3 linked regions of the Mytilus edulis genome follow. The protein of the gene in region 2 purifies or fractionates together with the protein of the main gene of each other region. This does not show direct contact. Links are inferred from orthologs where the notes say so. Each region holds a gene or a part of one and is shown on either strand. Other genes may lie near its edges.

The links.
Region 1: the proteins of F-box/LRR-repeat protein 12-like (region 2) and serine/threonine/tyrosine-interacting protein A-like purify together in Homo sapiens (affinity purification with mass spectrometry; 4 studies listed by BioGRID and IntAct, with this or other methods). This does not show direct contact. The link is inferred for Mytilus edulis from reciprocal best matches to the Homo sapiens genes FBXL12 and STYX.
Region 3: the proteins of F-box/LRR-repeat protein 12-like (region 2) and S-phase kinase-associated protein 1 purify together in Homo sapiens (affinity purification with western blotting; 10 studies listed by BioGRID and IntAct, with this or other methods). This does not show direct contact. The link is inferred for Mytilus edulis from reciprocal best matches to the Homo sapiens genes FBXL12 and SKP1.

The regions. Positions count from the first base shown.
Region 1 is NC_092346.1:58,811,893-58,822,606, forward strand, and holds the start of serine/threonine/tyrosine-interacting protein A-like, read right to left. Parts: upstream 4,287-10,714; 5' UTR 4,202-4,286; coding exon 4,157-4,201; intron 1-4,156. Other genes in the region: UPF0669 protein v1g209471-like, read left to right, coding at 7,813-8,388. UniProt on the Homo sapiens protein: Catalytically inactive phosphatase. Acts as a nuclear anchor for MAPK1/MAPK3 (ERK1/ERK2). Modulates cell-fate decisions and cell migration by spatiotemporal regulation of MAPK1/MAPK3 (ERK1/ERK2).
Region 2 is NC_092344.1:119,866,636-119,877,699, reverse strand, and holds the start of F-box/LRR-repeat protein 12-like, read right to left. Parts: upstream 4,417-11,064; 5' UTR 4,341-4,416; coding exon 4,255-4,340; intron 2,032-4,254; coding exon 1,874-2,031; intron 1,008-1,873; coding exon 310-1,007; 3' UTR 1-309. Other genes in the region: nucleolar protein 10-like, read left to right, coding at 7,901-7,966. UniProt on the Homo sapiens protein: Substrate-recognition component of the SCF (SKP1-CUL1-F-box protein)-type E3 ubiquitin ligase complex.
Region 3 is NC_092350.1:58,848,053-58,858,766, reverse strand, and holds the start of S-phase kinase-associated protein 1, read right to left. Parts: upstream 4,980-10,714; 5' UTR 4,847-4,979; intron 3,666-4,846; coding exon 3,569-3,665; intron 2,529-3,568; coding exon 2,314-2,528; intron 1-2,313. Other genes in the region: S-phase kinase-associated protein 1-like, read left to right, coding at 8,054-8,069, 10,040-10,135. UniProt on the Homo sapiens protein: Essential component of the SCF (SKP1-CUL1-F-box protein) ubiquitin ligase complex, which mediates the ubiquitination of proteins involved in cell cycle progression, signal transduction and transcription.

The sequences.
Region 1 (10,714 bases), on a different chromosome or scaffold from region 2:
GTGGTATATAGGGTAGAAAAATCAAAACTTTGAACAGATTCAAAATCACCAATATATGCATGCAATTTATCAAGTACTTCCAACGAGTTTTTGACACTCCAAAAGTAATTAATTCCACTATTTTCAAAGGCCTTATTTGAACAATTTATTATCAGGTTTTTTATTGTACCAAGTGTACTAGTAAGTAAAACAGACAATTTAGTAGTTGAACAATGGCTGGAAGATGAAATAAATCTATATTTGTAAGGTTTTTTGTGCAGCTTCGGAAGCCAGTACATAGTTGGGACTTTCATTGTGTTTGGTTCTGCTTGTAAAGAAGTAGCTAAAAGTTTATGTTTGTTACAGATGTCGTTTTCTGAAAATGAAGTCAGTTGGAATGTTGGTGAATTCGTGATTTCCTTTTGCAGAACCTCTATATAAAATTTACGTCAAACAATAATGATATTATTAGCAGCTTTATCAGCCGGGACAAAAACAAATTCCTTGGCTAGTTCTGTTAGTTTATTTTTGATACGCGAAATAGGGTTTTTATAGTTTTTGTTGAGGGTAAAATGTTCTTTAAAATGTTGTATTCGAATATCAACTATCTTCATTACTGAATTAAAAAAAGAGTCCAAAGATTTTTTGTCAGCTTTTTCCCGTTTTACCCATTTCAAACAGTAGGCGCGGAGTGAGTCGTTGATGATATTACGACACTCATTCCAGTTAATAGTTGACGGGGGACGATATTTAGGTCCTTTACTGAGGAATGATTTTAACTCTCGGTCGCGAACGATGTTAAGGTCTCCTGTTATAACATGGGAAATTGGTCCATAGGTGTATTCTGAATTACTGCAATTACACGACATAGGTGTATTTTCAGTGATATTTACATCTTTACACAATTGGCTATAATTAAACACATATTTTCGGGTAGATTTCTTGTAAATATAACAAATGAGAGGGAGTTCAGTATTATCAAAATATCCAGGAATTTGGTCTTTAACAGAATGGTCGTTAAAAATACCGGCAATATTTACAAAATCAAAACCTTTATTGACATACTTTATTTTAATAAAATGTTTTTTATGATCTTCAGGGCGATCAATTTTTGGAAACAGTTTAGAATAACAATATGCCATTATAATTTGGACAATTTCATACTTAGGACTGTAATATGAAATTGTGTTGCAATCCTCTAAAATTTTATTTAATTTATTTATAGGTAAAGAACAAAGCTTGGTTAACAGATAATGTCTGCCGTTATTTTTTGAAATGGAAATTAGGTCCGAAATATTTGTATGGTTGGTCCGAAATTTTCTTTGATTGCGATTTTTTCTGCGTCCATGAGAACGATTTTTACGAACAGTTTTAGAAACTATATCCAAAATGTTAACAGAATCGGTTCTTGATATATTGCCAATTCCCATGATATTATCATTAAGACCGAGAGGGTAGACTGTCTGTAATTTTTTAATCCAATTTAATTCATTTATTTTTCGTGATCGTACAAACTTGGAATGAGATTCACCAGGCTGCTTATTTACTACTTCTAAAGGTTGAACTGTTAAATATTTAATAGGATGACTGTGCTTCTTAAGATGTTGATAAATGATACTTTTGAATTTATTGGGTCTTTTAAAACGATACAGGTGTTCTTGCGTGCGTTTAGATAAATATCGCCCAGTTTCACCTACGTACTGAATACCGCATCCCGGTTTGTTTCATGTGAGTAAATAAATAATACTGTTTGTTTTTCAAGTAATATCAGTTTCAAAATTTAGAGAAAATGTGCGACCATTAAATGTGGACCTTACTGTATTGTTGGTGGAAAGACGGGGACACGTAAGTCATTTTTTGGCATGACACTTATCGATAGAAGGGTAACCACGATTTTTATTGTTAAAAACGTTAGCTATTGTAGTATTTTTAGATAAGCGATTCTGAAGATTGAGACGTGTAGATACCCTTTGAACGAGTTTAGTATTTAATATTTTTCCATTTCTAAGCTTCATATTTGTTTTTTGGTATGTAGATTTATTACAAAGGAGCAAAGACTGGCGTCCAGAATATGAACCATCACACAGTAGATTAAATTGTGTAAAAATGATAAAACTGTTCGGCTCAAGACGTCAAATGCTTATTGTCATAAGTTACCCGACAAATTTAACAAAAGATAGGGTATATCAAGGTAGCGACTGACGTCTGACTAAATAGATGAATGGGGCTGAATATTAAAATACTACTTTTTGATAGATATTCCTAAAGTAATGAACATAGAGAAGTTCTCGCTCGGACACACACTCCATAATCTAGTATAATATAAGAGCATAAACCTTAAGCACGGGGAGGCACTCTACTGTCTCCACACGGCACTAAAGACAAACTCTGTAAAAAATAAAATTGAGAAAGGAAATGGTGAATATGTCAAAGCGACAACCACCCGACCATAGAGCAAACAACAGCCGAAGGCAACCAATGGGTCTTCAATGTAGCGAAAATTCCCGCACCCGTAGGTGTCCTTCAGCTGGCCCCTAAAATATGCATAATAGTACAGTGATAATGGACGTCATACTAAACTCCGAATTATACACAAGAAACTAAAAATTAAAATCATACAAGACTAACAAAGGCCAGAGGCTCCTGACTTGGGACAGGCGCAAAATTGCGGCGGGGTTAAACTGTTTATGATTGCATTTTATTAACAACGATTTAATTATGTCAACATGTGGCAAACAATTTTAGCAGCAAAATTCAATTGATTAATATGTTATTGGAGTATTCGATCTTGTAAAAGCCGATCGCCCTGGAGGTTGATAAAAATGGGTGTCAAAGCAGACCTCGGCAGAGAGCAAATTCTAATTTTGATATAACATTGAGGGATAAATTTTAATGGGCGCCGATCTCGTAAAAGCAGATCGCCCAGCAGAGCCGGTTATATAATATGATGAAAACTTGTTTTGTAAAAGAAATTATTTCCTCAAAAGACAAAAGTTTGAGCGTTTTTTGTAAATAATGTTGATGATAGACCATTCATGAAATACGATGTCATCATTATGGAACTATTTCAAAAGTTTTGAAGATGATCCAAATAATTTTAAAGAACACTGGTTCAATGCTTTAAATATCTTATCAATTAATTATATGAACTTTTGTAATCTGAATTCAACAATTTACCAGTTCAATTTGAAATCCATTTGAATCAAGGTAAATTTATAGAAATGACCTGCTGTTGAAAAAATACCCGATGAATGATTTTTGTCAGTGGTTTATGTTAGCTGGAATATATGTCTTTTTTATAGGCCTAGGTAACTATAGCTAAGATGATAGACTAGTGCATCATGTTCAATGATATTCATGTAATAACAGTAGCCCATCCAGAATTATTCAAAATGTTACAACTTACATGAACATCAGTGTACAGGTTAAACCTAATAATATACATTTTCCGTTTTGACAGGAAAATAATGTTATTTCGTCTTAGATGTTATGCTTAAAAAATTCCCAATTAGAATAAAAATTCCCAATTTGATGTTCCAGGGACCCATTTGAAAACACCTGGAATCATCCCTGGATTGGTATGCAAGTACAAGATGCAGCTACTGTATTCGAAGCTTAGGTTTGACCAGTCTTGTATAGGTTTTTGTTGAACTATTTTCTAAATTGACCTTTAGATTTCTCTTGACAAAGTTTAGATGTACATTTTTTTTAGTTCCCTAATTTATTACGAGACACCAACATATTTTCAATTCATCCCAAGTTTCGCACAGCAAATTTTTGAATTATCCTCAGCATGGAGTCCAGCATGAATTGAATACTTGAAGCTGCTTCTGTGAGATTGAGGCAACACCACCTGCAATGTGTTCAGCCACAGCCGAGTGAAGATCAGTACGTGCCCTTGTCTGGACTAGACTCAATTGACTATTGCTAATAATATGTCAGTGGTTTAGAATTTTATTTCCCTCTCTAAAAAATATTGAAATGTGTCCATAAGATGAATGGAGCAATGCATGGACTGTACAGTAACACTGTCATGACTGTGCAAATGCCAATGGCAAAAATATCTTTGAGACTTTGAATGAAAATGTCTAGTTTTTTTGTGTGCTTCTCTTTTTTTTTTTATATACATGGACTTTCAACTTCCTGATAGACATTTCTACTGTTAAATAACATTTACCAAAGATTCTTGTGATGGAATGTTGGGAAACATATGGTTTTCCATGCTTCACAAGTTGCCAAAACTTTTGTTTTGCTGGCCATGTGTTCTATGTTTCAATTTGTGTGCCTGACGTCATCAATACGTGTGTACACACTGGGGAAAAACGAAAGTGTACAAGTGCCCGAAGAAAATCTTAAAAGTAAGGATAAACAGTATTTAGAAAATATGACATTTGATAAGTTATACCAATTGACATATAATCTATGCAACAAAAGCCAAATCATAATGTTAACATTGACAGTTCATGAAAAATCTCCCGAAATGGCAATTACTGGTAAATTATCTCCCCCTACACAAGTAAATAGAGATAGCTTGGTGAAGAAAATAGGAAATAAGATTATAAGTTTAAGTATGATACACTTAATAGATTTTATGTCATTTAGATATAAGACTATAATAAGCTTGAAGTATTCAAGATATCCTTTATGGTGACAATATATATTATTTTACAAATACAATGTGTAACCGGAGAGCACGAATTTCATTACAAAATTGCTTGTCTCCACCGGGACTCGAACCCGGTACCTCTGTGTTACAAGGCAGCGCTCTAACCGACTGAGCTAAAGAAGTACTTCCTTAGCTCAACCGCTTACGGCTGACTAAGTATCTACTAAGTTTTTCTAAGGGAAGCAATCCCGTCACACTTCCCCCACCTCAAGAGTCATTATACTCTATAATGATGATATTTTCATCTTTTTTTATATTTATATTTTAACCTGGCTAGGTAATTCTTCTAACCGTGGGTTATTCTTGTTGGGCGCCAATGTAACCGGAGAGCACGAATTTCATTACAAAATTGCTTGTCTCCACCGGGACTCGAACCCGGTACCTCTGTGTTACAAGGCAGCGCTCTAACCGACTGAGCTAAAGAAGTACTTCCTTAGCTCAACCGCTTACGGCTGACTAAGTATCTACTAAGTTTTTCTAAGGGAAGCAATCCCGTCAAAAAATTTATATTTGTGTTTTAGTTACAATGTATATTTAGTCATGGAGTAGAGGTAATACTTGTATTTTCCCGCGGTTCGTATAGTAAAGCGGGAAAATATTGTATTGTCGTTACGTTTTCATAAATATTCATAAGGCATGACAAAATTGACCAATCAGAAGTTGAATTTTGTCTTTCGATATATTGGTGTTTTTCAAGCGCTTCACTTTCTAGCCGTCGTTCAACATAGTAAGCTCCTTTATCTTTAATTGCTGATTGCAATTAAAGTTGTTTTTTCTGATTTTGTATTTGTATATGTATTTGCTAATTAAAGGTGTGGTCCGCCACTTTTATCCGGAGATAGGCTCGAGCATTGGCACGGATACAGGTTTCCATTCATATTCATATATCATGTGAACGATTGTTGGTTTTTCCTGGACGGCCTTGACTATCTATGAAGGGTAACATTCAGAAATTTAAGCGAATACACTGTGGATACATTGATATTTGAAATATTGTATATATGTTTTAATATTTGTTAAAATGTGTACTGCTGGAAATTATTTGAGATACAAATTAAATACGGCGTCTATCACGTTCGACGGGCTGTCGATGAAATATGAGACAGAAACATTTATTAGAACAAACCCAACTGGAAAAGACCAAGGATTTGTATAGTAATATACAAATCCTTGAAAAGACTCAATACAACTTAAAGAACAGTTTGTTATTATGCAAAGTAATATTAAATATATATATATATATATATAACTGGCACCTAATATCAATAGGTTGTATAAATATTATATGCATGTTATACAATAGTCCGAGATTACCGGCTGTTTTGCCAGACAAGCTGGGGCTGTGGCAAAACAGCCGTTGGACGTCAGAGTAATCAGTAATTCAGTATGATTAATTGACGATTTTTTCATGTGAGAAGGTAACTCAAAAGTGGTCTGTTAACAGATTGGGACCCCCCCCCCCCAAATAAGAGATATACCTTTTAGAGGGGATGTCCCTCAGAATTATATGCCCCTTTATGATATTATTTACCAGATAGAGGGGATTGCCTGTGTCCCTGCACTGTAAATTTTCATCAAGTGTCCGAGTAGCTGAGGAACCGTAACTCTTAAGGTCCTTTTTTATTTTGCGAAAGCTGCAGAACCGTAACTCTTAAGGTCCTTTTTTATTTATTTTTAATTTTGCGGAACATCTATGGGACCTAAGAGCTAGGGTTCCGCAGCTAGTGTCTGAGTGATTGTCCTTGTGCAGGAAAAATAGAAATTCAGAAAAGGGGATCAGTTTGCTGTGATAAAAGAAAGAAAAAAACAGCTTTTCAACTTAAAAATGGGAAAATTCATTATATTTAGAACAAGGGGGGTCCTCTTATTTTTAATACATTGTACTAAAAAAGTCTTGGTATATATATATATATACCAAAAATCTTGGACATGTTTTGACAATATAATACCAGATAGATGTATAGTTCTTTTGGGAAAATTTTGCAAATAATAAGTCTAATTTTTTCGTGAAAAAAGATGGTTAGGCCACACCAATTTAATTCCTTGTTCGACGGACCAGCCCGCACCTATTTTTTTCTAAATAGAAAATAGAAATTATTTATTTTTTTAATATTCTAGCTTCACACATCCGGAAATGTAATCATGTCTATTTCCCTCTTCATACATCTCATATTTTTGAAAAATATTATAAAATAGAAAAACTTAAAATATTTAACTTAAAATGGGGAGAAATACATCATATTTGATACAATTTTTTTTTTTAAAAGGGGTCCACTTATATTGAAAAATATATAAGAAAATGATATATGTTAAAGTCCAGGAATATTACAAATTTCTTGGACATGTTTTGACCATTTAATACCAGAATTATATTTACCTAAAAAAAATAATAATTGCTCGCCTTTACTTTTCAAGCATTGCAAGAAATTAAATTGGTGTGTCCTTATGAATATCTGACAATTTATAAGGATATACTGACCTTGATATTCAGTGATTTTCCTACCTTTTTTCAAATGGGGCCTTGGCCTTAGGTAATTGGGAAAATGTCACATAATGTGTGAATTGGGAAAAAATAAATCATTGTTTTCATCCTAGTTTAAAGAGCTTATTTCTTAAAATTCCAATTTTTTATCATGACCAAATTTTAACATATAATTTTCTTTTCTTGGTTCATTTTAATACATATCATCAGGGTTTTTCATAAGAATGATAAACTTGATTAAATTTGGAATTTTCAGTGTTCATTTTGGGAAAAAAATATGGTTTTTCTAATTGGGAATGGGGCCTATATTCGTACCCAAAATAAAGGCAGGAAAATCACTGATATTATAGGATTTCAGAAGTAACAGGGAGAAACTGTATTATCCTTTTTCAGGTCTTAATTAGGTCCTTGCATAATTTTTCTATTACCATAATACATATTATATGTGTATCATTTCAAAAGTGCATGATATAACTTTATACACCTCCCAAAATTTAACACTTAAGTAAATGATTTTTTAAAACAAACAGTTACATTTATGAGAAATTTTATTGGATAAATAGATAAACAAAACATAATATTTATTAACTTGTAAGGAGGAAAAAATCCACATTACAGAAGAAAATCTTTTAATAGTAGAAAAAACATAAGTATGTTTCTTTTTCATTTTCAGACAGTTAAAACAATGGATGTTCAGCACATAGTGTTACAGTTTTTGCTGTGGGCCAATTGGGGTCTGAACTTGGTTTATTGTGAACATCTACTTCAAACCTTAACAGCTACGATTGGTGCAGAAAATTATACACATTACAGACTAAGTACTCAGGGACGTCTTCACATTACATTAGAATCAATAGTAGGGGATGCTGACTTATACATATCTGATAATACTTTATCTCCAAACTTTGAAGATTATGTTATACAATCAAACACCTGTGGGATGGAAGAAGTAGAAATCCCAAGTACTATGAAACGACCAGTAGGTATAGGAATCTATGGTCATCCTAATTATAAAATGTCCGAATACAGATTGTCAATATACTTCTTAAAACAGTATGATGATGCAAACTACGCACAATTAGTTCATTCATATAACAAATTAGATGGAGAAGATAATAATGAAGAAGGATACCAAGCATATGATTACTCATCATCACAGTATAGTGCAGGGACTCAGCAGGAAGAGGGAGAATCGGCTTGGTCTGTTATTGGTACCATTCTATCCACTATTTTGAAAATCATCTTTGAAATCTTATTATAACGTCAGTGAATATATTATTTGGTAGTATGATACACATAAGTTCTAATGCTTTTTTTGGCCCTGTGTGTAAAAATTATAAAGATCGGGAGGGTCTTGACGGTTGAATATAGTAATCCTTTAGTAATATGGTTGCATGAATCAATAGTTAAAATACATTTAAAGGTTTCTGAGACATGAATAGTTTTACCTTTTGATAGAAGATTTTTTAAATGGTGAAGGATATTTATATTAAATTGCCAGAAATATGTTGTGTGATAAGAAGTTATTATGAACAGATAAAGATAAAAAATTATATTTTTACTATTTGTAATCATGGCAATAATCATCAATAATGTATTAAAGACAATATACATGCACTTAAAATTATAATTACAAAAAAAATGTAATTACAAAATTAAATAACAGAAAAAATAAATTAAATTTCATTTGTATCTAATTTACAATTTATAGAAAAATTACAATAGCTTTAATTTTGATAGGAATAAAAGAGGACGTAAGGTGTATGTCAGTGAGGCAAATGTCTACACAATATTACAAATTCTCTCATGAGTCTTTTCAAATTGTGAATGAATTGAAAAGAAACATATAAAGTTCTGCAATTATCACCACCAAATTCTCCAAATAATGCAAAGCGTTGAGATACAGAGTCTGATTAAGCCTGATTTACAGGGGATGTCTGGGTCTTCTTTATGGAGATACATTTGTGGTTAATGAAAGTGTTTTGTCTGTTCTAATCCCCTCACTCAAAATCCTGGATCCGCACCTGAGATTTGTAAAACATCAACTAGGGACAATAGACGTATTTACACTTGTATGCAAATTTGTCCGCCATTACGTAAAATCACACAGGTACATTGTACCCGTAAACTTTGACATCATAATTTAAAATATTTGACGTCACAATTTAAAAGTGATTGTTGCTTGACGTCAAATGGTGATTCAGAGTCGATCTAAGGTCATTCAGAGGCAAGATACAGCTAAATACTAAATGTGTAAATACGTTTATATTCCGGACAGTGACTTGTCATTTGATTGGGTCATGAATTAGCATCATTTTCAACAACAAAAATGCATACATTTGTTAGGTGGAGTTCTCTTTTATTTTAAGATAAGGTTGCTGCTTTATGCTAATTTTGTAACATTATGAAAAAACATTTTTTTATTTATATCTTTGTATTAACATTATATTGAAAAAGTTGTGTAAATGTATGCAGCATCCGAATCATTACATTCCTACAGCATAATGTTCATGTAGGCTTTCAGCAATTAAAGCAAATTAAATAGATATGTTGATCAAGTGTCATTTTATCTTCATACATTTATATATTGATATACATTTTGTACCTCAGAATAAAAAAGGATTGTCATGACTGTAAGTTTTGTTTAAAATAGAAATTGATCATGAGTAACACTGTTGTTGTGATAGGCCCAGAATAAGTACTTGTGTTTAGAGTTTTTCTTATTACCCTGTTTTAAAAGCCTCAAGTTCATATGCACAAATTCTTGTTTTAATTAGCATAGTATCCAATTATAGTTTTGTAATGTAACAGCAGTCAAGTGTATACTAATTTAAGGGGGTATTTTGATCTTGCAGTGTGATGCAATTTTTATCTCAGTTAAAGAGAGAGAGAGCGAGCCTCACTGTGAGATGAAAAATAGCATTAAAGTGCTATAATTCTGTTTGTATTTTGTTGAACATGTTGAAGTGCATGTAGGAATTTTGTATTATGAAAAAATACATCTAAAGCCTTCTTTGCCATTATTTTATATTTAAAAGAATTGTATACATGTAGTTGAGCTTGTTAGAGTGAAGAAATGAAACTGAAAATATGTTTGAACATTGTAGTGGACTATATGTAATAAGTTTTAAATGAAAACTAATAATGTTAAGAAACATATGTTTGTTTAATAATGAAGAATAAGTGTACAATTATTAAATTTAAAAAATGGCATATCATTATAAACTGTGGCTTTGGCAAAGAGATTTACTTTTTTTTTTTTTTTCAAATGTACATCAAAATTTTGATAGTTCCAGTTTTGATGTTCATATCTAAGGTACAAGGATTAAGGGAAGCCTGTATTTGATAATGTGGATATGATATAAACAATTACCTTAAATTAGTGTTTTCTGTGCATTCTTGATATAATTAGTATAATTAGTCAATGGATACAAAATCTGTGTAAAAATAATCCACCACTTTATACTGTTGTTAGATGTTGCCCAATATGTGCCTGTATTTGAATAAAAAATATTTTGTTCTTTGTCTTATCACTAATCCTTCACTTTTTACATATTTTACTGAACAGAACTATCACTATTACAACT
Region 2 (11,064 bases):
TCATCCCTAGTATATTTTCAAGTAACAGTACTTAAGAGTGTAAGTATTCTAACATATTTTGAGAATTTTTAGCAATCCTTTTTCATATTATTGTATAATACAACAATGCTGGCTAATTTCAGCTTAAAACAGCATCATATGATAGATTTTATATTTAGAGGCAAATGTAGTAATAAGAGATGATTTTACAGTTAAAGGTCAAATATATTTGGAAACAAATGAAAAACAATAATTGATTGCTTGCGTAAAATGTTCAGTGGTAATTATTTCATTCATATTCAGGAAAACAAATAGATAACAAAGAGGCCCTTAAATATTCCCTGGCTTGTTAGGATTTAATGCTGTTATAATACAGCCATTATTTTCTAATATGGTCTCTAACGTTGATGTGATGTGGGGAATGTCACACACTAAAGTTTTCAATGATTTTAGAGACTTCAGACATTCCAAACCAGATGGCGTCAGTAAATCACATTTATTTATATTTAAATGCTTTAGATTGCTTAGTCCTGACACTATAGTAGAAATACCTGAATCAGTAACTTTACTATTCCTGATGTTCAGAGTTTCTAACTTTGTCAAATGACGTGATATGTGATGTAAAATGAGATCTGTACAATTACAATGTGCTATTTCTAAAGTTTGTAAATTAATCAGTTCTTTTGCAATCTTTTCTAACCCTTTCTCATTAATTCTGTAACAAGCATTCAAATTAAGAGACTCTAATCCGGTTATTTTACAAACATCGTCTAAATCAAAATTATCTACTCTTGAGGTATGTTCTAGTATGAGACATTTGATGTTGGGTACCATGGTATGGAGATGTTTAAACCATCTAGGTTTCCAGTAACACTGATACAATTCTATAGAAGTCAGACTTGGTGGAAGTTTCATCTCTAGGTTCTGAAGTTTACAGTTTTGTAAGGTTATATGCCTGATATTGGGACATCTCTCATTCAAGTCAGCAAGCATGGCATCTGATACTGGGTTTTTATCCTTTATTGGCACTACAATGGAAAAAATAAATCAGTTTGGAAAAACAGACCATTCAGATAATAATAGATTGATATAAGATTTTATAAAATCCTCTCAGCTTCAGCTGTTAAAAATGTTTACAGATTAAAACAAATTTCTAAATTAAAATATCTTCTGTGAGTTTCATACTGAGTCTGTAAATCTACTCTGAGTTGGAAACTGAACCCATATTCATTGACCATAGCAATATATTTTTGCTTTTTAACAGTGTTAAGACAAGACTGATCAAACATTCATAAAACAGTAAATTTGCCTATTCATATTGCCAAAATGAGTATCCAGTTATAACTTAAAAATTTATCTTCCCCCCCCCTAAAATTAATACATGATAATACCTATTGGTCCAAGGTTTTTCAGACAAATGAGACATTCAGAAAAGTCCATACTTACTGTTAAAACCTCTCAGTTTTAGAATTGCTAATCAATTCACTTCAGAGAAGTTTAGTTAGTATAAACTTTTGAATTTTACATAAAAGTTTCAGACTAATAAGACATTCTCTAAGAACATAAAATGTCCTTTTCACATACCAGTTCTGGTATCAGTGATGGATCCAGAGAAATTTACATAGTGGGGGCCCACTGACTGACCTAAGAGGGGGCCCACTCCAGTCACGCTTCAATGATTCCCTATATAAGCAACCAAATTTTTTCCCAAAAAGGGGGGGGGGGCGGCCCCCCCCTAAATCCGCCTCTGGGTATTGCCTTGAGACTCCCATATCATGCACAACAGTACAAGGCATAAGCTGAGGGCTCATATACAAGAAGGTTGAGGGTTGATACCAGGGCCTACATTAAAAATGCCTAATTAACTATTATGTGAAAAAGAATCAATACATACTGTTAAAATCTCCTCTAAGTTTCAGACTGATCAGACATTCTGAGAAATGTGACCTGATAACCTTCCACGTCTTTTTCAAATCTAATCTGTAGGGTGTTAAATCTACATGTCTCCATAATGTGTAATCTCTGGTTATCCTTCTCCATCTTCTACACACTCTGTAAATATCAATAAATTCATATCAAAAGTAAAATATAAAACCTGCATTTCCATACTATACTTAATCTTTCTGTCTTTTGGAATTATAAATAAACATAAATATTACTAGAGCGCTGAAACAGTCAAGTTAGAGCACCGACACAGTCAAGTAAGAGAACTGACACAGTCAAGTTAGAGCACAGACATGGTCAAGTTAGAGTACTGACAAAGTGAAGTTAGAGCACTGACACAGTCAAGTCAAAGCATTGACACAGTGAAGTTAGAGCACTGACAAAGTGAAAGAAAGAGAACTGACACAGTTAAATTAGAGCATCAAAACAGTCAAATTGAAGAACTGACAATGTGAAGTTATAGAACTGACACAATCAAGTTAGAGCATCAACACAGTCAAGTTAGAGAACTGACAGAGTGAAGTTAGAGCACTGAAACAGTCAAGTTAGAACATCAACACAGTCAAGTTAGAGCATTGGCACAGTCACAGTCAAGTTAGAGCATTGGCACAGTCACAGTCAAGTTAGAGAACTGACAGAGTGAAGTTAGAGCACTGACACAGTCAAGTTATCAACACAGTTAAGTTAGAGCAATAGCACAGTCGAGTTAGAGTACTGACAAAGTGAAGTTAAAGAACTGACAAAGTCAAGTTAGAGCACTGACAAAGTGAAGTTAGAGAACTGACACAGTTAAATTAGAGCATCGATGCAGTCCAGTTGCAGTACTGACAAAGTGAAGTAAAAGATCTGACACAGTCAAGTTAGAGCATTGACACAGTCAAGTTAGAGAACAGACAGAGTGAAGTTAGAGCACTGACAAAGTGAAGTTAGAGCACTGACACATTCAAGTTAGAGCATTGCCACAGTCAAGTTAGAGTACTTACACAGTCAAGTTAGAGCATTAGCACAGTCGTTTTAGAGTACTGACAAAGTGAAGTTAAAGAACTGACATAGTCAAGTGAGAGCACTGACAAAGTAAAGTTAGAGCACTGACAAAGTGAAGTTATAGAACTGACACAGTAGAGCATTGACACATTCAAGTTAGAGCATCAACACTGTCAAGTGAGAGCACCGACACAATCAAGCTAGAGCACTGACACAATCAAGTTAGAGCACTGACATAGTCAAGTTAGAGCATTGACACAGTCAAGTTAGATCACAGAAAAAGTGAAGTTGGAGCACTGACACAGTCAAGTTAGAGCACTGACACAGTCAAGTTAGGGCATTGCCACAGTCAAGTTAGAGCATAGACACAGTCAAATTAGAGCATAGACACAGTCAAGTTAAAGCATTGACACAGTCAAGTTAGAACAGACACAGTCAAGTGAGAGCACTGACACAGTCAAGTTAGAGCACTTACACAGTCAAGTTAGAGCATCCACACAATCAAGTTAGAGCATCAACACAGTCAAGTGAGAGCACGGACACAATCAAGGTAGAAAACTGACACAATCAAGTTAGAGCACTGACATAGTCAAGTAATAGCACTGACACAGTCAAGTAGGAGCACTGACACAGTCAAGTTTGTGCATTGCCAGTCAAATTAGAGCATAGACACAGTCAAGTTAGAGCATAGACACAGTCAAATTAGAGCATAGACACAGTCAAGTTAGAGCATTGACACAGTCAAGTTAGAACAGACACAGTCAAGTGAGAGCACTGACACAGTCAAGTTAGAGAACTGACAGTCAAGTTAGAGCACTGACATAGTCAAGTTAGAGCATTGACACAGTCAAGTTAGATCACAGAAAAAGTGAAGTTATGCACAGAATCAGTCAAGTTAGGGCATTGACAAAGTCAAGTAAGAGCACTGACATAGTCAAGTTAGAGCACTGACAGTCAAGTTAGATCACAGAAAAAGTGAAGTTAGAGCACTGACACAGTCAAGTTAGGGCATTGACAAAGTCAAGTTAGAGCACTGACACAGTCAAGTTAGAGCACTGACAGTCAAGTAAGAGCATTGACAGTCAAGTTAGAGCATTGACAGATTGACACAGTCAAGTTAGAGCACTGACACAGTCAATTAAGAGCATGTATATGTATATAGTTTAAAAATAAAACAAGCTGTGATGCTTGACACTGATAAGTTTTTGCTGGACCATACACTTTTATTTGAGAAATTGAATCATTCAGTAAAAGGATTTGTACAGGGACAGGCTCTGACAGTCTCACTTTAGAACTGTACAAATCTTCGTTCAGTGAGTGAGAGGACGCATTTAAGCAAATCATTACCTTCCAGCTATGCATAATTCTTTAACAGGTAAATAGTTCAAAACTTCTAATATGATGTTGTCAGGTAGTAAATCAAAATTGGCCATAAATGCAAAGTTTGTTTTCCGAAAAATAAATTAAAACATTTATGTGACATAGATTTTTTCTTTAGATATTTCTATTATATGTATTACAAACCCGTATTCAAACCCAAAATCAACGACTGATTTACATTAATATTTTTTTTACTTTATCCTTTGGCAGGTGTTACCTGGAAAAGAGACGAAGTCGGAAAACATAAAATTACTTAACAGTATCCTGTTAACATAAAATTGAGAATGAAAGTGGGGAGAACAGGATCAACAACCCGATCAAAGAGAAAAAACAGCCGAAGGACACCAATGCGTCTTCAACCTCGCGAAAAAATCCCACAACCGGAGGCAGGCCTCAGCATGCAGATTGTACATACATGTGTATATAAAACATTGTTTTCGATTCCCAACATAATGTCTTATTAGAAAGTCACTGAATTTAATAATAAAAAAAGCCAAACAAACATGATTTATACATTAAAAACAGACTAAAATAAAATTGAGAGTGGAAATGGGGAAAGCTTAGTGTCAAAGAGACAACAACCCGACCAAAGAGCAGACAAAGGCGGAAGAACACATATGGGTCATACTAAACTAAAAAGGCCTGCAACTTAGAAAATCAAAAAATAGTTTACTTAAATACTTTAAAAGATATCAAAATTATCTCCCCTTGACCACTGATTCTTTCCTCATGCATTTGAATTATTATTTTATGTTTCTTTAATTACTCTGTAATGTTTATGTCATGTTGTAATTAATCACGTTATGCTCTTAATGGGCCCTTTAATTTGGAAAATAAAAATATTGTATTGTATAAACTCTGAAATATACACAAGAAACTAAAATTAAAAATCATACAAACTAACAATTTCATAGGCCAGAGGCTCCCGACTTTGTACAGGCGCAGAAATGTGTCGGGGTTAAATATGTTTTCTTTAGATCTCAACCCTCCCCCTATACCTCTACTGAGCCAAAGTAGAAATGTGTCGGGGTTAAACATGTTTTCTTTAGATCTCAACCCTCCCCCTATACCTCTACTGAGCCAAAGTAGAAATGTGTCGGGGTTAAACATGTTTTCTTTAGATCTCAACCCTCCCCCTATACCTCTACTGAGCCAATGTAGAAATATGTCGGGGTTAAACATGTTTTCTTTAGATCTCAACCCTCCCCCTATACCTCTACTGAGCCAATGTAGATCTCAACACTCCCCCTATACTTCTACTGAGCCAATGTAGAAATGTGTCTGGGTTAAACATGTTTTCTTTAGATCTCAACCCTCCCCCTATACCTCTACTGAGCCAATGTAGAAAAAAACAAACACACAACGATCTCAACCCTCCCCCTATACCTCTATTAAGCCAATGTAGAAAAAACAAACACGCAACAATACGCACAGTATAACTCAGTTTAACAGAAGTCCGAGTCCGATGTCAGAATAGTTAACAAAAGCAACTAAACAAACTGACAATGATACATAAATAAAAGGACTACTAGCAGTAACTGACATGCCAGCTCCAGACTTCGATTAAACAGATTGAAAGATTATATCTTCATCATATGAATATCAAGTTCAATCCCAAGAAATATGTATTACATATCAACAAAAAATATGTATAAAACGTCAATTTTAACTCTTTTAACTTTATCTATAATTCTTATAATTCATTCTTTAATTGATACAAAATGTATCTTTATCAATAATTTAAATAATCTGATGATTTTGATGCAAAACTTTTTGTCATCATACATATGTTTGTATCTTTCTGAGAAAGCAACAATTTATATATGATGCATTTAATACAGTGAACCTTGACAAATATACAATACATTTTCAATTATAGATAATAGAGAGATTTTTATTATCGATACAGAAATTGTAAAAAAAAAAAAACCAACAAAAAACTCAACAAAAACAACAAAAACTGAAATAGTTAAACGGGTAGTTCTTGTTACGTCAGAATTACCGACTAAACAACGTACCTGCAAACTACTAGAAAAGAACTGCATGTAACACACGACAAAAGAATGATACCGGTTTTACAACATGTATCTAGCTTCTCTACAGATTACCGTGCATCAGTTCCCTTATGTACAACGATTATAAGTTATAGGATATGTACACACACACTTGCAAAGTCAACCTACAGGGTAAATTCTCAAAGTGATTAGTTAAATGTGATCCCTAGTTCTATAACCGCTGATCAATATAGTAATCTCAGGTTAAATGGAACATGTGGAAGGTGATATGTGTAGCTATTGAATCTGGATGCCGGACGTGTCAGACACACTAGACAATAACATTATTGAAGCTTGAGGGCTGCAACTAATTAAAACTTGAACAGTTAGGTGCTTTTTATATAGTGCGGCACACAGTCAATATTTTTGGTCTTCAATAAATAGAATATACAAATATAAAGATGTGTATAAGATACAAAAATATAAGTAAACAGTGTCAAAAGAATATTGGATCATGAATTTGCGGAACTGTACACAAATAACAAGTTCCAATATATATTTCATTATGTTTTAATTTTTAAAAACAAAATCAAAGTTAGTACTGATATCCCAGTACCGTTGTTAAAAAAATACTGCTGTTTTAAATTGATAACCTTTAATAAAGTGGATAATATGTATCTGCCTTTAAGAACAATTTGATTCCAATGATGAAATAGTTGAAGCATGGATAGTGTCATATTTTTCGTGCTTATAATAACAACATCAGCGTAAAAACAAGGATGTGGTATCCGGTTTTTAGATAGAATTAACCAAATCATTGTAATTATGAAAAAAAGTTGGTAGAGGGATGATCATTGTGTGGTAACGAGACCCCCAGATTAAACTATTTTCCAGTCTTACTGTGTGACTCATACATAGATGACATTCATTAAAATCTAGAATTCTACTATTGACATGCACATTGCTTACAAGTTGTGAAATAAAATAAAAATAAATTTTCCATTATTGGAAGATGATTTTCCTTTTGTACCTTTTCATGAGGTGCATATTTAAAGTGGTACAATTAATTTCCATAGGAATATATACAACCTGTCAATTAACTTTATTGTCTTAAACGCTAATATATATTTTCAATGAGAAAATTTACAGCCGTAATAATTTCATCACAGTTCCAGTAAGTATATCTAACATATTTTCCTTTTCCATTAGAGATGTATGAGTTGCAGCAAATGATTACAACCAGATATTTTAAATGGAATACAGACAGAATGTCTTTTTGATAAGATTGTGGTAGTGTAGTGTACAGAGTAGAAAAATCATAACTATCAGCCAAATTGAAATGACCATCAAAAGCACGTAATTTATCCAATCGATAAAGAGTTCATATCTCATAAGAATCTGAGACAACTCTACTTTTGTGTTATAGTAGTCTGACCAAGAGATTATGTTTTATTTTATTTCATCTAACCGAATCAAAAACAAACCATAATTCATAATTACCTCGGTATGTACCCGGGACCAATAGGCACATTGTAGATACATCTTTATTAGTTATCTCCCTTTGAACAAAAATGTAAACAACTGCACGTGTGATTGTATTATTATTTTACGCAATTAATATGCAAGTTTCTAATCCAAACAATGTGAAAATATACAATTTAAGTGCTGGTAAATCATTACCTCAGGTAAATGACTAGAAATATTTTATGGTTATTGATAAATATTGAAAAGGTGATCATGGAGTCACAGTGTGGAATATAAGCGAATATTTTGTATAAACCCTTATCTATCACTTAACATTATCTTTAATTTTCTTATATGGATGCTCTAATGCTGTGTTCACACGTAATTCGAATTCTATTCACATTAACTAATTTTAATGTCCGTTTGTTATGATGAACCTTAATTTGCCTTCGATACAGTAACATCCAAACGGTAAATTCTAATTTGAATTGCAATGTGCACATCAAAATTATCCCTTTACTGTCCTAACGACGTTAACTTTTAATTCGAATTAACAAAAACACATTTCTAATGCAAATTGGATAATGGGAATTAGCTAATTCGAATCAATTCAAATTAAAAAGGAAGAGTGTGTGAACACGATTAGCGAATTCAATTTGCATTAGATTCGAATTCAATTCAAATGAAATGAACGTGTGAACGAGGCATAACTGTGTAAATATAGTACTCAATGCGAAGGATGATTAAAATGTCACAATTTTTGCTAGAAGTGACCTCTAAGTAAGAATAAACCCTGCTCCTTTCAAAGAGCTTATTTTTAATCCATTTTTGATGCAGCCTATAAGTTGTAGTAGAGTATGTCCCTGGTGTTTGGATGGATTGCCTAAATAATGTATATATTGACTCATGGTGTAAGAATGCTTTAACATTTATTTGATTAAATAATGTAATGTTTGGTGGTCAGAATGATTTATGTCGGGTATAATGCTAGTATGTAATATGGGGACAAAGTCCCCAATAACGGTAGACAAATTGAAAAAAAAATGAATAAATTGGTGAGAATTTTCTACTAAACTCAAAATTGTTAACTTTTTTTTTCAGACTTTTTTAAATCCCCACATCTGCGCAGAAATCTACTTCCTTTTCCGGTCTTGTATGCATGAGACTTTGAATAAAATATATATTTATCAGTTTACTAAAATATATAAGGAAGGAACTCAATACCAATTCATTTTTATACGACCGCAAAATTTGAAAAATTTTTCGTCGTATATTGCTATCACGTTGGCGTCGTCGTCGTCGTCGTCGTCCGAATACTTTTAGTTTTCGCACTCTAACTTTAGTAAAAGTGAATGGAAATCTATGAAATTTTAACACAAGGTTTATGACCACAAAAGGAAGGTTGGTATTGATTTTGGGAGTTTAGGTCCCAACATTTTAGGAATTAGGGGCCAAAAAGGGCCCAAATAAGCATTTTCTTGGTTTTCGCACTATAACTTTATTTTAAGTTAATAGAAATCTATGAAATTTTGACACAAGGTTTATGACCACAAAAGAACGGTTGGGATTGATTTTGGGAGTTTTGGTTTCAACAGTTTAGGAATTAGGGGCCAAAAAAGGGCCCAAATAAGCATTATTCTTGGTTTTCGCACAATAACTTTAGTTTAAGTAAATAGAAATCAATGAAATTTAAACACAATGTTAATGACTACAAAAGGAAGGTTGGTGTTGATTTTGGGAGTTTAGGTCCCAACAGTTTAGGAATTAGGGGCCAAAAAGGGACCCAAATAAGCATTTTTCTTGGTTTTCGCACCATAACGTTAGTATAAGTAAATAGAAATCTATGAAATTTAAACACAAGGTTTATGACCATAAAAGAAAGGTTGGTATTGATTTTGGGAGTTTTGGTTCCAACAGAATAAGGGGCCCAAAGGGTCCAAAATTAAACTTTGTTTGATTTCATCAAAATTGAATAATTGGGGTTCTTTGATATGCCGAAACTAACTGTCATGACTGTATATGTAGATTCTTAACTTTTGGTCCCGTTTTCAAATTGGTCTACATTAAGGTCCAAAGGGTCCAAAATTAAACTTAGTTTGATTTTGACAAAAAATGAATCAGTTAGGTTCTTTGATATGCTGAATCTAAAAATGTACTTAGATTCTTGATTATTGGCCCAGTTTTCAAGTTGGTCCAAATCGGGGTCCAAAATTAAACTTTGTTTGATTTCATTAAAAATTGAATAAATGGGGTTCTTTGATATACCAAATCTAACTGTGTATGTATATTCTTCATTTTTGGTCCTGTTTTCAAATTGGTCTACACTTAAGTCCAAAGGGTCCAAAATTAAACTTAGTCTGATTTTAACAAAAATAGAAATCTTGGGGTTCTTTGATATGCTGAATCCAAAAATGTACTTAGATTTTTTATTATGAGCCCAGTTTTCAAGTTGGTCCAAATCAGGATCTAAAATTATTATATTAAGTATTGTGCAATAGCAAGTCTTTTCAATTGCACAGTATTGCGCAATGGCAAGAAATATCTAATTGCACAATATTGTGAAATAGCAATTTTTTTTTAATTAGAGTTATCTTTCTTTGTCCAGAATAGTAAGCAAGAAATATCTAATTGCAAAATATTGTGCAATAGCAAGATTTTTTTTTAATTGGAGTTATCTTTCTTTGTCCAGAATCAACTTAAATCTTTGTTATATACAATATACAATGTATATTCACTTTTTACTACCAACTGATAAATTAAAATAATCTTTACCATTCAGTGATAACAAGCAGTTTTTTTACATCTTAATATTTTATGATGTATTTAAATGAGTAGTTATTGTTGCAAACTCCATTAGAAATTTTAATTGAGATTAGTTTTGGAATAAGGGAAAGGGGGATGTGATTAAAAAAATTGGGTTCAATTTTTCTCATTTGAAATTTCATAAATAAAAAAGAAAATTTCTTCAAACATTTTTTTGAGAGGATTAATATTCAACAGCATAGTGAATTGCTCTAAGAGAAAACAAAAATTTTAAGTTCATTAGAACACATTCATTCTGTGTCAGAAACCTATGCTGTGTCAACTATTTAATCACAATCCAAATTTAGAGCTGAATCCAGCTTGAATGTTGTGTCCATACTTGCCCCAACCGTTCAGGGTTCAACCTCTGCGGTCGTATAAAGCTACGCCCTGCGGAGCATCTGGTTAATAATTGGTTTGATATGAAAAAAACGTTACCTAATGAAATAAAATTGAGAATGGAAAGCATTTCTTTGTATTTATCATATGTTTAGTAGTAAATACAGTAGTTTTGCAT
Region 3 (10,714 bases), on a different chromosome or scaffold from region 2:
AAATAAACAATTTCTAATTATGAAAAGGTTGTCATTATAAATATAGATTATTGATAAACTTTTTTTATTACACATTTTCTCCCAATTATCAGTCAGGGGACCAGGCCTGGGGTAATGGTAATTTGTAATTGTAATGCATTGTAATATTACATTTTTTGGATGTAATGCAAAGTAATTTGTAATGCACATTTTCTGCATTACAATTACATGTAATGTAATGATTACTTTAGTTAAAAATTGATGTAATGCCTCCATTACAGTACATTACTTTTCATTACAAATTGGTAAAATAGATAAAATTGAAGAATATTGTATAATAAAAATAAAATATTAACAAAAACAAAAGAAAGTATGGAATAAAATTAATTACTGTATTAAATAAATTACATCAATCTTTAAAACACACATTAAGGTAAGAAATTTAAAATGGTAAAAAATATCAAGTCTTTGATCTTGGTTTCTGATATTTGTTTAATATGATATGGGAATATTTTGGTGTTTGATGGTCTATGAAAAATCTTATAAAAAAATTATCAAACAAAACTATATAGATCAATGAAAAAAATATGAAGAGGAAAATTTCATAATTCTATACACACCTTACATGTATTTCAATGAAATATTGAATATATCAAAGAACATTTTTAAACCAAACTGTGGTTTGGGTCCTGTCTGTGTTGTTATTTCACCTAATTTAATATCACAATGTTTTTATTGCAATCAAATCTTCTCAACTTATGTTTGTCCTCACAGAACCCTTAGGCATTTCACAAGATAATCCTTTAATGACACATTTATTATATCCCTTTGAAATCCTTAATGATGTCTTAATGATTAAGTGATCAATGTTAGAAACAAAATTATATGATAATTTATTTATTTTTTACCACCACCTAAGAAACTTGAAAGTGACTTTTTCAGTTTCATGCCTCCTACTACTCAATCAAAGGGTATAGAAACAGGTACGGTGCAGTACATGATGTTGACATCTACTTGTCTGAGCCATGTGAAGAAATTTCAATCAATGCACTGGAATAATGGAAGTCAAATTCAGTGTGCCTTTCTTCTTTGGCTAATACAGCTATCAAGTATTTAGCCATTTCCCACACATAAGCTCCTGTAGAAAGGCTTTTAAGTATCGCCAGAAAGGTGTACAGAACTGATCGCTGTTCTCTTAATGGCATCACATTTAAACTACTTATGATGATAAAGTGCAATGGACATATTAATTAACCAGTATTTGAACTCTATGTACCTAACACTGTATACATATGTACATATACCTCTGTTTTTGAAATGCTTTTTGTTTTTATATTGAAAAAGTAATGTGTAATGTAATGCATTACACAGGCAAAGTAATTGTAATGTAATGCATTACACAGGCAAAGTAATTGTAATGTAATGCATTACATGTGAGAAAAAATGTAATTGTAATTGTAATTGAAATGGAAGAATCACAAAGTAATTGTAATGTAATGCATTACATTGCAATGTAATGGACCCAGGCCTGCAGGGGACTTACTAAAATGAATAATTTTCTAAATCACTGGTTTAAGTAACATTATTTCCATAAAAGTTGGAAGTAAGAGTTGTCTTTCTTTAATAATCACCTATTTAAGTAGTACAAATTAATCACTAGAAGAAGTGATTTAATCTTATTGTAGCTTTAAATATAGAATACAAATGATCCAGGGACTAATTATGTTTCTAAACTTATCAGAACCAACATCTGTGTTGTCTAGGATGACCAGGTCATTTCAGGTGATGACCTTGTACTGAATCTAGGATAATGACATTAAAATCACTTGTTTAAGTATCATACCTCAATTTCCTTCCCAAAAATCACTTATTTAAGTATCATTATTTTAATAACCCCCACTAATTTCAACACCCCCGAACAGTAAAATTTTTATCGCGAACAGTACAATTTTATTACATAATATGAAAGATAAAACCTTGAACTTTACAGGAAAAATACTCCCACTGCTGGGAAAAATCTGTTAAGAAAGTATTAGTTCATTATGTAAAGCCATTATTATAGCATTTCAACTAAAATAGAATTTTCAGCTAAATGATAGCATCAAAGGCATAAACCTTGCTACTTAAAAGAAGCAAAAAGTTCATTTTTTTCAATTTTACTAATTAAAAGATATTATTTAAACCTATGTGTTTAAAATTTTGAAAAAAACTACAAAATCCCAATTTGTGACAAAACTTTGAATTTGCTACTCAAATAAGTGATTTAAAAATCATTTATTTCAGTAAGTCCCCTGACTGATTATAGAACTGCTGAATATGCAAATGTTAAATTACCAATATTAATTCAAATAATGTCCCTTGATCAACTTTTAGAAATTCAGCGTCCCAGGAACAAATATCATCTGTGCGTTTTTCTTTGTTTTCATCATCTTCCTGAGGTGGTGGGTCGTCTTTGTGGTATGTGCACCATTGAATAACTTTTTTTAGGATACCAGCATTTACATTAGGCAAGGGTACAGGCTCTTCATCATCCTCATCAACACCCAGATCTATAAATATACACATTAGACTACAAATAGACAAGAATGTGTCCTTAGTACATTGATGCCCCACTCGAACTATCATTTTCTTTGTTCAGTTGACCGTGAAATTGGGGTATAAACTCTAATTTGGCATTACAATTAGAAAGATCATATCATAGAGAACATGTGTACTAAGTTTCAAGTTGATTGGACTTCAGTTTCATCCAAAACCATAACCAAAACCTTAACCCTGAAGCAGGACAGGCAGACAGAAAAATGGATGAACGAATGAACAGACGGACGGACGCACAGACCAGAAAATATAATGCCCCTCTACTATCATACATGTCATAGGAGGGGCATAAAAATACCATATCTTTGTAAAATGTAATGTCAGTGTTAATACACTCCCCCCCCCTCATTTTTCATTTAAAGATATGTGTCTTGAGGGATAATTTTTTGAAATATGTCAGTTGAAGATAAATATGTATCAGTCCAATCCTATATTTTATTAAATTTTCCTCCAATAAAAAATGTGTTTATAAAGTAATAAATTATGAGAAATTACAACTTGATCTGATCAACATTTCAAATTTCAATTTAAAACCGATTTTTTTATTAATAATAAATGTATCAATATTTTTATGAAAACTCAGGCCTGGCAAAATGTTCTCTGATGTTGCTGCAATTTCATGATTCATAGCTATAGCTATATAAATATACCAATTAATTATGGACACATTCTAGATGATGAGGAACAATTTATATAAATTCTTTTCAATTACATAAAATTTTGTCATGTGTGAAATTTGTGTAATGAATTTTACATACATGACATATATAGTAACCTGGAATTAAGTTTTTTTTCAGTCATGTTTCATACTATTTTTAACAAAAGTCGAGCTTTTAGAGTTGCTTATGTAGTGCTTGTTCTACAGCTTTATTCACAATTTTTTTTCTCAATCAAATTTATAATGCATGCTAGCCTTTAACGCTACACATGGTAGATTTTATCAGTACACTGATCAAAATATGACTGAGGAACAATTTTTTCTTCAACAGTTTACCTTCTAACATAGTTTTAATTGTGACAGACTGTCTGGCTATCTCAACCTCAATTTCAAATATCTCTCCGTCTGAACTCTGTAACTTGATATTAGGCATCTAAAAGATAATAATTAGTCATAGTCATGTTAATCATCAAAGGTACCAGGCTTATAACTAGCCTATAACATTCTAAAGACGCATAACTCAAGAATGGTAAAAGTGACACAATTTAAATTAAATTTGTTGTTGCAATTAGATGATTTATTGTGATATACATTGTATTTAAGATTAAAATACCTGCTAACTTTTCAAAATGCCCATGGGGGTTTTACGTGAAAGATGATTCTTATTGTCCTACAAAACCTTCAAAGGGGCCTTCAAATATATTCTAATGTGGTTTTTTGGTTTCTTCCTGCTTTAACAAGCTCATAGCCATTGTTAAATTGTTTTCTTTAAAATAGTGGACAAAATTGCTCTTACAAAATTTCCACTTGGGAGCCTCCATGGGGGAAATCCCCCGCGAATAGTGACAGTTGGCGGGTATGGATTTATACTGTCTGTATTTACAAAGCTCATTGGAATAAATGTTATAAATGTGTTTAAAACAGAATACAAGTAGATAAATTATAGCTTGGTAGAAGTAAAAACAATGAAAGATAATTAGAGTTTGATAGCTAAAGCTGTTTGAAATCTTCTAGCTTTTGATTAATTGCCTTTCTCTGTCGTTTTTTACAAGTCTTTAGAGAAAAATTACTTATTCAGCCGGACAGGAGAGGTCCTGATCCCGGAATCCTGGGTTTGAAAACATGAAATCCTGAGGTCGGGAATTTAATCAATTTAAATCCTGACATCCCGAAATCAAAAAAAGAATTCCCATATCATGAAAGGTTCAATCCCAACATCCTGAGCTTAAAAACACCTGATCCTGCAGTGCCCATAAAGATCCTATCCCCCCTCAGTAATGTGATACTGAGAGGGGGAAACTTTTATTTGGTGTTTTGACACTAAAGACAGCAAAGTCAATATATTTTATTCTACATTGAATATCATTTTTGGGACTATTTTAATTTTGAAATCATCAATATCTTGTTCGATTGTTTTTTGAAGTAATGAAATTAATTCTCTTTTCACATAAAATGACACATGTGTCTATATTTGTAGATGACTTGTCTGAGAAACGGTGTCAACAAAAAAGAATGCGCCATATTTGTTGGCAAGAGCATACAAGTCTATAATTCAGTAAATATTTTGGAAAACAAATTGAATTTAGAACAGTGTAGTTCATTTTAAGACATTACTCTGATCTTCTGTGTGTATAACGGGGTGTTAAATCTTTGTCTTTCGTCTGAAACAACACAAAAATATATCGGAAACGAGCTGAATCTAAAATTTATAAGCGCCTCCTGTGATTAAGGGGCGATAATCTATTTTGCCTTTTGGATAGTTTTGTACTCTACCTTGATTTAGACGAACAACCTCGAAATTCCCGATATAAATAGAATTACTGCCCTTGAATAAAAGACAAAACGCTAGCTGACACTTGTTTTATTGAAAGACACAGAACGCAAAAAGTATAAGTTTATCAAAGTTTCACTATCTTTTATAATGTGAAATGGTTGCATGTGATATGATTATTTTTTACACATGCTGACTTAGAAAAATAGTCAGGCACTTTTTGACTTTGTTTACATTAGTTACCATTTAAAAGTACATAAAAAATCAGCATCATCTTTTACAAATATTTACATTAAAAGCATGTGAATTTTGTTTAAATAGTAATGTTGTACTCAGTTGTAGAAGTCTATAATTAACGGTTTTAAATTCATTAGCCTCACCGGACGATTTTTGAACTATGATTAATATTTTTTTATGTAGACTACTTTTCTTTTTTATAATTTTTTATACCATAGAATTTAAGATGTATGAAGGCTTTCCATTTTGCATCATATCCCACATAAATTTTTATTCACGTTAGGATACTTTAGTAAGATTTGCGTGACCTCGTTTTACGTGTCAAGAGAGCCACATATGGACGCAATTCCGAACAGCACTATATTGATATATCTTGCAGAAGAAATCAATGACAATAGTCTAGATTGATAAAGCATACATTAACCTTTATCTCAAACACATTTTCATAGGAAAATAAGATGCACAAGTTTGTTTTTTACTTCAATTACTTCAGCAGTGGTTGCAGACGAAATGTCGGTCATGTGTAAAGGAAAGATTTCTGATTTTTTTTTTTTTTTGTATAAGTTTCTCCTTTAAAGGAGCACTAAATTCAAGTTTATCCATTTCGGTGGTGTATTTATTATTCATCTATGATTTTTTTTTATATAGGTCAACATTTTTTTCGGAGTTTTCTGGACTTTTCAATAAAATTAACATATTTTCTTTTGACCATAAATAGGGTCAAAAGCGTCTAAAAAAGTCAATTGTGGGGTTATTTGGGCAAGATAAAAGGCATCATGCACATGAACAGAATCAGGAGATCTTTTTCTTTCTATATATTAACAAAAGAAGGCAATATGCACTTACCTTTATGGTTTTTTTTATAAAACTTTCAGGCCAGATTGCCGTTCTTATAATATTTTCAGAATGATTTTGTCATCGTAATCAACATTTCACCAAGTGCACATAAATTGTATTATCATGAAAACAAGGGAATTTTAATAGGATTTTTATTTATAAAAACATTTATTGTTAAATATAAAGGAATATGATCTCAGAGGGCAAACATTGGAAATCGTTCGTAATTGTGTCCAGTCGTAATTGCGTCCTATGGGGCTAATGAACTTGAGGATAGACGATAATGCCCTGAGCGCTTTACCGTCAGGATTCAAATGGTTTATTTTTTACTATCTTTTGCATCAAACCGATTAAAACTTTACCTTGATTTGTCTAAATATCATTATCGTGAATTATAAGAGGTCTCAGATAATTATAGGAACAAATATGGAAGAAAATTAATGAGATTCGTTCAAAATAAGTCTATTTTTTTTTATCGTCTGAAAGAAAGTGTACATTTTATCGTCATGCACCAAAAATAACCGTTAAGTTAATTTGGGCAAGAATTTTTGAAGGTAAGTACCTCAATTTCAATCCATATTAATCCACATTGATTCTGATTCAATATGAATTCGGTTCCTTACTGTTACTTGGAAGAAGAAGAAGAATTAACTATTTTGTTAAATTATTATATATTTATAACCATAAATACCCATTGTGTATGAAGCTGGATCTGCTCAATGCTGCAAGTGCTATGTATAGCAATACTGGCAATTCAGCTAGTCCATTTAGTCTGTAAAGTTGTTAGAATGTTAGAGTTATGTTTATTTTAGTTTTAAAAGGGAGGTATAAACATGATAAAATAAAATTTTTAAATTGTTCCTACGTATAATAATGAACATACATTTTTACTTTTTTGACACTGTTAATGTGAAAGTGTATTCTTTACATTTTTTTTTACATTTTTACTCTGATTTTTTTAATAAATATTAACAGTCAAGGGTGTAACTAAAATAAGTTATTAGAGAAAAATAACAAACATGTCGTTTTTGTGGTCTTAAATATCAAAATACCATAATAACATTTGTATGTTACATGTTTCAAAGGGACATTATACATGTTAATAACAGTTATATACAAACTTTATTTTGTTAAATTTTTCACAAGTTCTATTGATATTATAATTTTCTTTATGTATACTAAACTTTGCAAAGATATAGCAGTTCATAGTTTTCCAGTCATGCATAGTCAGCACACCTATGTTATTACAGAAAATATATTCCTGCAATAACCAAAGGGTGTTATTACAGCTTCTCTACATCTCTTTAAAGCCTTTGCTCAGAAATATATCACAATGTATTTCAATTCATTGTAAGAAATGATGATCAGAACTTGTAATGAGGCACTGCCCAAGATTCCAAGTAATTCCCAAGTGTCTCATTTACTCTCATATGATAAGTTACATGCCTGTAATAACTAAGCCTTGTAACATATTACAGCTTAATTTTCCCTAAAAGGCCTTGTCTCATTGATTTACTATGGTTGGTCAAAATTGTATTAATGGAATTAGAAAATTAGTTATCAACTGCGCAAAGTTTCAAGAATTCCCAAGAGCCTGCAAAAGATAAAATATTTATGATATATTTAACTGATAACAAACATATGTTACTACAGATTTAGGAAAAAAAGAGTAGACAACTCATGATAGTGTCTGTTATAACACATGCGTGTTATTTTTCTCTGATAACTTGTTTAAGTTACATCCTTGACTGATTAACAATGATTAAATTTGCTTTACATATATATCATAAAGTATCAAGGCATTATTTTTCTATGTTTATGTGCTCTTTTTGTTTCAAAATTTCATAAAATTCTGTGAGATCAAGGTATTCAGCAATTTACGTACTTAAACATTAATTACCTTAAAGTATTTAATTTAAATCTGTTAAAATCACCAAACTGGCTGTGTTTTTTTCAAAATATCTAGATCTTACAAAATGTACAAGAAAATTGGTAAGTATTATACATGTATATATTTACATTTATATGTATATCTGATACAAATGGTATACGTAACAGTTGGCCCATCTGGTATGAAATGGCTTTATTAATTGCAAAATATCATTGTTAATGGTACAAAATGGTTATGGTATGAAATGACTAGATTCATTGCTTATATTTAACTGCTTGTACATGCTAAGCAAGGAGACAGGGACATATATATGTTTATCAAGTGTGGTTACCATATGTGTCAATTGTAATAATTATTTATCATGTACATTTTTACTTAGCATTGATATGATAGCATTTGCATATGTGTAATGAGCGGAAGTACACAAGCCATAATTTCCCACCCGGGCTGATAGCCCATATCAGGTGCATCTCGTGCACAAAACCCATAATAGAGCCTCTCCTGCAAGTTACTTCCAGTGTTTCCGGTATCGGTTGTTTACTTTTCCATTGTGACGTCAGATGTTTTTTATGACGACGTCAAAATTTACGGGAACTTTTGTGTGGGTAGTTTAATACTTGCTAACAAATGCCATTGACAATTATGAATCATTTTATAGAACAACAAACATGGAGTAGTAATGATCGTAAAACTCTTCCAAATTTTCAATGTTTCAAAATGCCTCTATAGGAAATGTTACCATAAATATATAAGGAGTTAATGATGCTGTTGTTGGACAACTATAGTATATTTTGATTCATAATTTTAATTTTCTTTATAAAGTGTTTGACTGTTTTAGTTATTGCATTTTAGTTTATTTGCCTTATACATAAAACTATTGTCGGAAGTATATGATAAAGCGATTAATACATGGCCTTTTCCATATCAGCCTGGGTATCATCCCTCGACCCATATCAGCACCTTGACTCCGTCTCGGGCTGATATGGGGGTCTCGGGATGATACCCAGGCTGATATGGAAAAGGCCATGTATTAATCTCTATGTAAAGCAAGGAAAGTTTTTTACAAGCTGTAAATTTGTACTTTTTGAAAATATTTCCTTTATGTATACATGTACATGTAACATATATTTTCGGACTTTAAATTTCAATTTATAAGAAAAATGGTTAGGCAACCAGAGAAATATAAATACAGAAGATCCATAACTTTGCAGTGTATTACCTATAATTATTGTTGGTGACAAGTATAATCATATTTTTTGCAGCGACATTGGAGTTCTGTTTAGAAATTGTTGATACATACTGCACATTTCTAATGTACTGTGGATACCTTTATTTTCATGGAAAGATTGTATTTTTTAGATCTATATTTCATTTTGTGGTTTTGCCAAATTCTGCATTACAAGCCAAAAGAAAATTTGCATAAATTGTTGAACTTTTAATTTTGTAGATACAAGTTTATGAATCCTCAGTAACCCAATAGAGGTGCAATATAAATGTACAATTGCCTACAAAATTTTCAAACATCAGCTTAATGTATCAATAATGCACAAGTTTGTGTTGTGAAATTAACTGGTGATCGTGGTGATTTTGTATTAATGGATATAATTATTTTCTATAAAAAAACCTTCAAAATTCTTTCATTTTACTTATATTTAAAGAGTAGATCCCATGTTCATGATGTTATAGAATTATTTTTTTTACTTACATTTTTTTGGATGTCTCTTTTTTGTATTAATACTGAAAAAGTTATCAGATTTTTTTTTTTTTTTTTTTTGTGTATGTAATTCAACTTTGGTCCAATAACACTTTTTTGTCAGTCAATAAGTCATGATCTAGTCTGATGATCTAGTCTGATGCAGAAATAACTTAAATCTTGTTCCATCAGATTTGTATTGCAATACAATATGATCATGATGATATATTATATTGACATTTTTTCTCCTTATCTCTTCAATTTATACATTTATAACTACTGTAAATAAACCTTCTACTATTATTCATGATAATAACCTATATAGATCTATATATTTAATATGTTTAAGAATGTTTTTTTTTTATTTTTTTATTTCAGTGCCTCAAATAAAGTTGGAAACTTATGAGAAAGAAGTATTTGAAATTGATTTGGATATAGCTAAGAAGTTTGGTAAATTAGTACCAGTATTACAGGGTAAGTTCAGATTAATTTAGAAAAAAAAACAACTCAAAGAAGTCAATAGAAAAGTAAATATGGATCTTTGCAAAACCTCTTTGGGGATCAATAGGTGACCTGTTGCAAGGCAAAATTCCTGCTGTTATTAAACATACCTCATTTACAAATTTGCAGTTCAATCCTAATCCAGATTTGAAGACTGATTGTTATGCCCCATTAAAGGGCATTATGTTTTTTTTTGGTCTGTGCGTCTGTCTATCCATTTGTTCGTTTGTTTGTCCATCCATTTGTCGTCCCTTCGTTCATTCGTCTGTCCATCCGTATGTAGTCCGTTCGTTCATTCGTCTGTCCATCCCTATGTCGTCCGTCTGTCCCGCGCTTTAGGTTAAAGTTTTTTGGTTGAGGTAGTTTTTGATGAAGTTGAAGTCCAATCAACTTGAAACTTAGTACACATGTTCCTAATGATATGATCTTTCTAATTTTACTGTCAAATTAAAGATTTTACCCATTTTCATGGTCCAATGAACATAGAAAGTAATAGTGTGGATGGGGCATCTGTGTACTTAGGACACATTCTTATTTTAAGATGTTATTTAT